Solanum lycopersicum: one gene and its partner. The protein of the gene in region 1 binds, or shares a complex with, the protein of each later gene. Links are inferred from orthologs where the notes say so. Each region holds a gene or a part of one and is shown in the gene's direction. Other genes may lie near its edges.

Region 1 (4,332 bases):
TAAATGAGCAAAAAGGAAGTCGATGGGAACTTATAACCGCCCTGAAGTAAAGCTAGGAATAGTCATTTAATGTCCACCTTTGGTGTCTGCGGTAACATCAACAACAACATACCTCATGTAGTCCCACAAAGTGCAGTAAAGGGAGGGTAGAGTGTATGCAAAACTTACTCCTATCTTAGAGGTAGAGAGGATTTTTTCAATAGACCCTTGGCTCAAGAAAAAGAAGTCCAAAAAGAAGTAACAGAAGTGAAAGCAATGCGTGTAGCTAAGCGACCCATCTTGTTTGGGACTGAAGTAGTTGTTGTTGTTGTTGAAACAGTGCATTTAGATGAACGCATGTCAGAAATGGACAACACAATTATTTGTGCAAGTCAAAAAATGTACTACTAATCTTTGTTCAGGTTTATGTTTAGAAAAGTTAAATAAATGAATTTTGCAAGTAGAAAGATTGCTGGGAGAGAAACTTATTTATATTGAACTAAGCTAAACTATATTCATCTTTTTTTTGCTTCTTCTTCGCCTTGTTTGTGAAGGCTTATTACAGAGTTGACGAATGCATGTCAGAAACTGAAGTTTACCAGACAGACATTTCTAATGAGCTACTACCAACAGCCAATATCGAGGAGAGTGACGAGAAACTTAAAGATTCATTATCTACAAATATCAGTAACATCGGTCAGACTGTTGTAGCTTCTGTTGAGGAGAGAGACAAGGAACTTAAAGATTCACCTATCTGTAAGCATCATTAGTGATGTTGTTCAAGCTGACTGAGGTGATTCGGATGCAAACGTCTGGATCAGATGTCTTCTACGTTGGTGATCTTAGTCCGCGCATGTTGCCTTCAGGGTGGTAGCATTTCCTCTGCAAATTATTAGCATCCAATAAATTTACTGGTTGTAAATAGAAAAAATGCATTTGCATGTATGTGTTCCTCTGAAATTTTCCCAGTTTTTGGTGCTTTGCCTTTGAAGCCAAGTCTCTATATGTAATAAGAAGACTAAGAACAATCACATATATAAAATGTTACTAGTAGATTAGATTACAGTCTCTCATTCTGTTCTTTTTTGGTTCATTCTTTCCAAATCCAAAGTCATTTTTATCAAAGATATTTCATTAGGCATTCGAATTAAGTCATGTTTTAATTAAATGCTTCGACTTCTAAAAAAGTGTTTCAAATAGATAAGTACGAAAATTTGAAACCGCATTTGTGTGTTCTCATTTATCTATAGTTAAGTTAATCACGTAAAATATGTTATCTTGTTTAACTAAACGTATTCGCTAAAATAATAAACTGTAAATCATAGACGTTTTCTACTTATGAGTGATGCATTCAATTAAATAAGATCACATATTTTATGTAGTTGATTTAACTAATAGATAAATAAAAATAAATCCAAACTTTTACGATTCGAACAAAAAGTGTCTTAGTGAAATATTTTATTATGAAGTTGAGGTACTCAATAAATATTTTCACAAGTTTTAAGAGGTTGTCTTTTTTTTTAAAAAAAAAACAAAAAACAAATCGGGGCCCGATTACAACTCTCGGGTCAGTCTTGTTAATGGTGGATTAATCTCGGTATATTAGTATTGAACTGAAAAAAACTTCAATTTTGAGATCAACAAAATGGGGGAGAAGAACAAGTACAGTATAATTATACCTACCTACAATGAACGTCTCAATATTGCTCTCATCATCTACCTCGTCTTCAAGCATCTCACGTAAACACTCTTTCTCTCTATCCCGTTTCTTTTTTTTTTGTGTGTGTGTGTGTGATCACTGCTATTAAAGTTTCTGTCTTTTTGGAAAATATTTGCATCTGGAAAAATGGGTTTTATGATTTATTAGAAAAGAATTGTTTTTTGGTTTTTATATTCGATCTTCTGTAAGCAACTTAAATTTGGCATGAATTGGAGCTGTGTAGAGGAAATTGACTAGAATTTTGTTGAAGTTGTTGCTATTAAGATCGTTTGTGTAATATCCCAGCATTGATTAATTGAATTAATCTATGATCTATGTGAAAACGGTTATCTTTATCATCAAAATCTAGGAAAAGGTAGTCTTCAATTTTGAACTGAATAGGAGAGGAGAAATTAGAAAGGAGTATAGAATGAAATGGAGAAGAAAGTAGATAGAGTTAAGAAAAGAGGCAAGAAAGTGTAAAGAAGAAGCGAAACGAAACAGAGAGCAGAGAGGAAGATCGGGTGATAGAGAGATTAGATGACCAGTATAGGTATAGAAGGGAGAGAGGAATGAGCATTTTCCACATTTTCAGAAGCTTTTTCTACCCCTAGCTTCTATCTCTTTGTGTGTTTGTGAGTGAGATGTTCAGTTACAACTCATGTGCCACCCATGTTCTCACAACTATTTGTGGATTCATGACAGTTTGATTTAAATTTGAGTTAGATAGGCATGAGAATTTGTAAAGATTGTATCTTTTTGGAATCTAATATAGATGGTTGGGAGCTTTCGTGAGGATTGTAACTTTTTGAGGGAATCCATTGATTAGTAGGCTGGAAAATAACGTGGCTTACACCCAAATTCCAAGTGATTGTTGGCAGATATCACTTATCAGGAGCAAATTTGGAAAGGGCTATGTCAAAACATTTTACAGTTCTTGGAATCAATTTTCACCATTTATAAATTATTTTCGAAGATGATCTTTCTTTTTATAAGGAATTTGGGGGATCTATGCATTAATTTTTGTATGGATGAGGAGTTAGGTTCTGTCCTTTACATGCTTACCATTTTTTTCATATTTATTTGCTCATTGCTAATAATATTGATGCTCAACCACGAGAGAAGACATTGTTATTGAGATTGATTTATATAGATGTCAGGTCCTGTTTTATTCGACCACATTGTTGTTTATGACGCAAGAAAAATGTACACCATGTTCATGACATCATTTAGTGTCTTTGAGGGGGATGTTCCCATTTTGAGGACTAAAATTCATTTTTCCCTTGTATTTGAATTAAATCTCAGCTTATTTTTTCATATGCAATATTTAGAGGTGATAAAATCATGTAAATGCATAAGCAGATTCTTATTGCAAAATTTGTTTTTTCTTGACTCAGGGATGTTGATTTTGAAATAATAGTAGTGGATGATGGAAGTCCAGATGGCACACAGGATATTGTCAAACAATTGCAGAAAGTATATGGAGAAGATCGTATTGTTAGTAGCTTCTTACTTCATCCAGTTGTTGCACATTATGCTTCCCTGATCATACCAGTTTATCATCTCACTTTGCTCATTTCTCTTGTTTACTACAGTTATTAAGACCTCGACCTCGGAAACTTGGTCTAGGTACTTCCATTTTATTATGATAACCATGATTTCTTTTTCATACGAAGATGTTAGCCATGAATAGTCTCTGACATTCCTCTTATCTCAGGCACTGCGTATATTCATGGTTTGAAGCATGCCTCAGGCAATTTTGTTGTTATTATGGATGCGGATCTTTCTCACCATGTAAGTATGATTGAAGATAAGGGCCTCGTTTGGTTTCCTTTTATATTTTGTCTTTTTGTTGTGAAATGTCCTTTATCTATTTGTTGGAACATCAAGTGTTTTTGTTGGGAAAGGAACAGAAAGGGGATATGTGGTGTGCAGTGGGTTTTTTTTATGCTTGATGTTATGGGAAGAAACGATTCAAATAGCTCTGGGTGTGTATATCGAATAATTAAATTTATTTTTTGGGTTAATCGTTATTTTTCACGCCCTCATTGTTGCACTATTGCATATCCTGTCTGTGCCTGCGGTGATTTAGTTCCCCCAGCATCCAGCACCCTCAATAGTAAGAAAAAGGGCAATTTGTTCCTTGGACAACTGAAACTTGATAGTGTAGGCCCACTTCATCAAAACTTAAAAGTGTAGGACCAAAAATCAGTGACTTCCTGAATTTAATTATGTGAGCCTGTATATTGTTAGTCTGTCTCATAAAATATTAGTCTCTATACCAAGCTTATTTGATTTTAAATTTTATGGTTGATTCTTTTATACTTTTTTTTACAGCCAAAATACCTGCCAAGATTTATCAAGTGAGTATTTGTTTTCTTAAATTTCAGTTTTCTTGTAATGGTGAGCACTAGAACTATAATTTAAATTTTATGTCTAGGAAACAAATGGAGACAGGTGCCAATATAGTTACTGGAACTCGATATGTTTCTAGTGGTGGTGTCCACGGATGGAACCTTATGCGCAAATTGACGAGCAGGGGAGCCAATGTCCTTGCACAGACACTACTTTGGCCGGGTGTATCAGACTTAACTGGATCCTTCCGGTATGTTTTAATTTGGAAGTAGAGGAAAATCTGTGGTTCGATGAATTGT
Region 2 (4,490 bases), on another chromosome or scaffold:
TCTTTTTGTACATGAAAAAAGACAATAATTTTATGGTTAAAATAACTCTGGTGAAAAAAAATATGTAAAAATTTTGATAGTCAATATTAATTATAACTAAGTTAAGACCATTAAGAATATACTGGTACAACAACATAAATAATTTTTTTAAAGAGAAAATCACTTGTTTAGTGGCTACTTTTACAGTCATTAGTGGCGACAAAGGTTGCCACTAATACACAATTTTAGTGACGACTTTTACAGGCATTAGCGGCGACAAATGTTGCTACTAAAACATACTTTCAGTAGCGACTGCTATAGGCATTAGCGCGACAAATGTTGCTACTAAAACATACTTTCAGTAGCGACTCCTATAGGCATTAGCGGCGACAAAGGTTGCCACTAAACACAATTTTAGTAGCGACTTGTATAGGCCACTGAAACATACTTTCAGTAGCGACTCTTATGGGTATTAGCGGCGACAAAGGTTGCCACTAAAACATACTTCCAGTAGCGACTCTTATGGGTATTAGTGGCGACAAAGGTTGCCACTAAAACACACTTTCAGTACGACTCTTATGGTATTAGCGGCGAAAAAGGTTGCCACTAAAATTTCTTTTAGTGGCAACTCTTATGGGCATTTGCGGCGATAATGTTGCCACTAAAACAACTTTCAGTGGCGATTCTTATGGGCATTGGCGGCGACAAAGGTTGCACTAAAACATACTTTCAGTGGCAATCTTATGGGCATTAGCGGCGACAAAGGTTGACTAAAACAACTTTCAGTAGCGACTTTTGGGTATTAGCGGCGACAAAAGTTGCCACTAAAACACACTTCAGTAGTGACTTTTATGGGTATTAGCGGCGACAATGGTTGCCACTAAAACACACTTTCTTGTGGAGACTCTTATAGGCATTGGCGGCAACAAAGGTTGCCACCAAAGGACATCTTAAGTAGCGACTTTTATAGACATTAGCGGCGAAGAAGGTTGCCACTAAAACACACTTTTAGTGGCGACTCTTATCGGCATTGCTGGCGACAAAGGTTGCCACTAAAACACACTTTTAATGGCGACTCTTATAGGCATTGGCGGCGACGAAAGTTGCCACTAAAATACACTTTTAGTGGCGACTTTTATAAGCATTGGTGGTGACAAAGGTTGCCACCTATAAAAGTATTTGCCTCCAAAAGGAATCCTAGAATTCCGTCAGTTTTCTGGCCCTCCGTATCTAAAGATAGATGGCTAAAGGGCAGGTTCCACAGCTAACTAAGAAGGCGATTGATTGGCTGAGTCAAAGCTTCATGCCCTTCTTGAATTGCAATCATTGAGTTACACTTAGCGACTTTTATAGGTATTGGCGGTGACAAAGGTTGCCACTAAAACACATTTTTAGTGACGATAAGTGTCACAATTTTTTTTTTAAAAGTCATAACTATTTATTAAAGTCGTTACTTTTCAATAAAAGAAACATTTTCTTGTAAAAATCGCAACTTTTCATTGAAATCACAATTTTTTATACATAACTTTTTATGAAAAGAAATGCCAATTTTAAAAATAAATAAATTAAAAATAAAATTTGATTTGATGGCTGGGGTTAAGAATTTCTTTTTATATAATTAAATAAAATAGGCAGACACGTCAACTGCTGTCTGTTAGAGGTGTCTGAACTGTATATTAAATTTGTTGAAAAAATACCTTAAATTAATTTTTGTTAAAAAAAGAAAAACACAACTGCAAAACCTGATTGGAACTGATCGGAGCAGGCTTCATATTCAATATCAGGTTTGTTCCCTTTTATGATTTTAGTTTTACTTTTTACTAATTATTTTCTTTGTTCTAAACAAAAGATTTGATTTTTATCATGTGGGTGTGATCTAAATTGGCTAAAATTGTATTGGGATTTCTGTAAAAGTTTATGGGATCAGTGTTATTGGTGATTTTTTTAGGTGATTTTGTGAAAAGATTAGATTTTTATCATCTGGGTGTTATCAAATTGGTTAAATTGTATTGGGGTTAATGTAAAAATTTATGGGATTGGAGTTATTGGGTGATTTTTTTAGGTTTGGTGGATTTTAAGGTGATTTGTTGGTAAAAAGTGAAGCAGCCATAGTGATGTTGCACTAATCTTTTAGCACAGAGAATAAATCACCATGGATTCATATGAATCAACAAAAACAGTTAGGACCAAGGTTATAAGGGGATGATTCGTTTAGGACTTTTATCGAACTGTTCATCTGCACCTTAGACAACCCCTTTTAGTTCCATTTCAAACGCGAATAAATTCAACTTATTTCCACAATCTTCCCTAGAATCATGATACTGAAAGATGGCTTTCATCCTTCGCCTTGTTCTGGTTGTCACTGACGGTTTTTTCAAGAAGTCTTTGACCAGTGTCGTATGCTGCTGTTGTGAATGGTTCAGGGAATTTGTTGCTGCTTTTCAGCTTATGGCTTCTGGAGGTCGTCATCCATTTGCTTACAACAAATGCATGAATATTTTCAATGAGGACTAGACACTAAGACCTTATTCATTCCTTGTCAAATGTTTACAGCCGACTTAATTTTTGGTTTACTCACTGACAGTGTTGATTACTTCTATGTTTGGAGATGCTGAGCCTCCTGTATCTTTGATATTTCTCCTTGTTTCATCTCTACTAGTCCTCACAGTTGGTTTAGGCGAACAACATCACATTGTCTAGTCCATCAAAGCTGTTGTGTTCTTAAATAATGGAGTGGGGATTTTCGATATTGGAGAAGGCAATGATATGCCAGCAAGAAAGTCAATGGATGAGAAAATGACTGTCCCCTGTATTACTTTTTGGACTGACTCTTTATCTGTTCTATGGTACACTAATCTACTACCTTTCCATGAGGATATACTATCAGCTATTCTAGTGTTCTCAACTTCTTTAAGAATCTGTTACATGGCCTTGAATTCGCACTAATTAATTGTTATACGGAATTCCGTTGAGGAGTTGGATCAACCATTTAACAGTAATCATCAACTAATGCTCTGGCTTGGAAAGCAGAAGCGAATATCTGTGTTGCATCTTAGTTACGAAATTGTTATTACACTACTCCCTAATGGAATTTAGACAGAGAAGCATGTTTCACTTTACGAGAGTGATAGTTTTTCACTGTTGACATTTCTGCACTTGAACCTTGAGGACAAGGTTCGTATTCAGGAGGGTGGTATTGTTATGAACGGGCCAGGACCAGTATGGGCAAACCAGCTCAACACCGAATTAAGAGACTATGTTTGGGATCCGAGTTGATAAATATGACTTGTGGAGCAAATTAGACTTATGCAGATGGTTGAGAACCTAGTCCTCTCATCCCTTTGCTTTGAGTTTAAGCTTCTCATCTCCCTTCTAGTTATATTCTTCAATAGTTTCCTTGTGAGTTCCATTTTCCCATTTAACTTTGAGTGTAGTGATTATAATATTTGAGTGTTTCTATTGTGAAACTGGAGTTGTTACAGAAAATATGTTGTTGATAATGCTTGCTTATCTGGTGAATGTAGATCCGATACGTTTCCTGTAACAATAAACAAATGGAGAGAAAGGGTGAGAAACAATTTAGATGGTGCAAACCAACGGAATATTTGTGGTTGGAAAGATTCAAGCAACAAAACTAGAACACATCATCAGTTAGAAGAACATTGCTAGGTAGTAGGTTTTAGTTCTTTCATTTTTTTCTATCTGATCTTCTGTATCTGCACCGGATTTTAGTTGTTGGCTTTCATATAGTGCTCCATAATTTTGTTAGTTGGTTGCATCATCCAGTATTTTGTTAGTCTAGATTTGAAGTTTTTATAACTTTTTGAAAACTAATATGGAGGTCTTTGCTTTCTGTTTTCTTGCATTGGCTTTGACACTGACATAGAAAAGTAGTTTAATTCCAAAGGAATGATCATAATATCAACTAACATTGGACATCCATGTGGACATCCATGTAGGCCGTGAAGTTTCATGTTAACAATGCATTTGTTTGTGACTTTCTACACACTTGGCCTCTCAGCCAAAAAATATTTACAGCCCCTAGCTGATGTACATAAATTATACACGGCAACTCTCTCTCTCTCTCTCTCTCACACACACACACACATATATATATACTGTGTAAAAATCTCGTTGTTGTTTTATAGATGTAGATCAATTTGGGATGGGGGCGGGGGTGAGAGAATAACACAGAAGCCATTTCTGTAATATTGTTAGCAAACTTTCTCCTTACAACCAAAGAATGCAAAATATTTCACTCACCTACCAACATTGAAATTCTTTTGCCACTCACCAACCAAACACTGGAAAATAAGTAAGAAAACCTCTTATTTTCCTTCAAATCAAAGACACCCTGATAGTTAATTGAGTTGGCTTCTTAATGTTTCAGTCGTTGACTTCTATTATATGTTAATCAATGAAAAACTTTAGTCTCCTCTATTACTCACATCAAATTAATGCATCACTGCAGATCCAATGAAACATATCGTGAAGATTTTGGCGTTATTGCT

What was found.
Region 2: dolichol-phosphate mannosyltransferase subunit 1 (region 1) and dolichol-phosphate mannose synthase subunit 3 share a complex: the UniProt entries of both Arabidopsis thaliana proteins name them as parts of the dolichol-phosphate mannose (DPM) synthase complex. The link is inferred for Solanum lycopersicum from reciprocal best matches to the Arabidopsis thaliana genes DPMS1 and DPMS3.

Annotation. Positions count from the first base shown.
Region 1 is NC_090803.1:67,948,069-67,952,400, reverse strand, and holds the start of dolichol-phosphate mannosyltransferase subunit 1, read left to right. Parts: upstream 1-1,466; 5' UTR 1,467-1,624; coding exon 1,625-1,719; intron 1,720-3,075; coding exon 3,076-3,175; intron 3,176-3,273; coding exon 3,274-3,307; intron 3,308-3,395; coding exon 3,396-3,472; intron 3,473-4,015; coding exon 4,016-4,041; intron 4,042-4,118; coding exon 4,119-4,283; intron 4,284-4,332. Other genes in the region: 1,4-alpha-glucan-branching enzyme, read left to right, coding at 534-749. UniProt on the Arabidopsis thaliana protein: Transfers mannose from GDP-mannose to dolichol monophosphate to form dolichol phosphate mannose (Dol-P-Man) which is the mannosyl donor in pathways leading to N-glycosylation, glycosyl phosphatidylinositol membrane anchoring, and O-mannosylation of proteins; catalytic subunit of the dolichol-phosphate mannose (DPM) synthase complex.
Region 2 is NC_090800.1:455,980-460,469, forward strand, and holds the start of dolichol-phosphate mannose synthase subunit 3, read left to right. Parts: upstream 1-1,608; 5' UTR 1,609-1,763; exon of another isoform or gene 1,764-3,378; intron 3,379-3,503; exon of another isoform or gene 3,504-3,648; intron 3,649-4,450; 5' UTR 4,451-4,455; coding exon 4,456-4,490. UniProt on the Arabidopsis thaliana protein: Regulates the biosynthesis of dolichol phosphate-mannose. Regulatory subunit of the dolichol-phosphate mannose (DPM) synthase complex; essential for the ER localization and stable expression of DPMS1.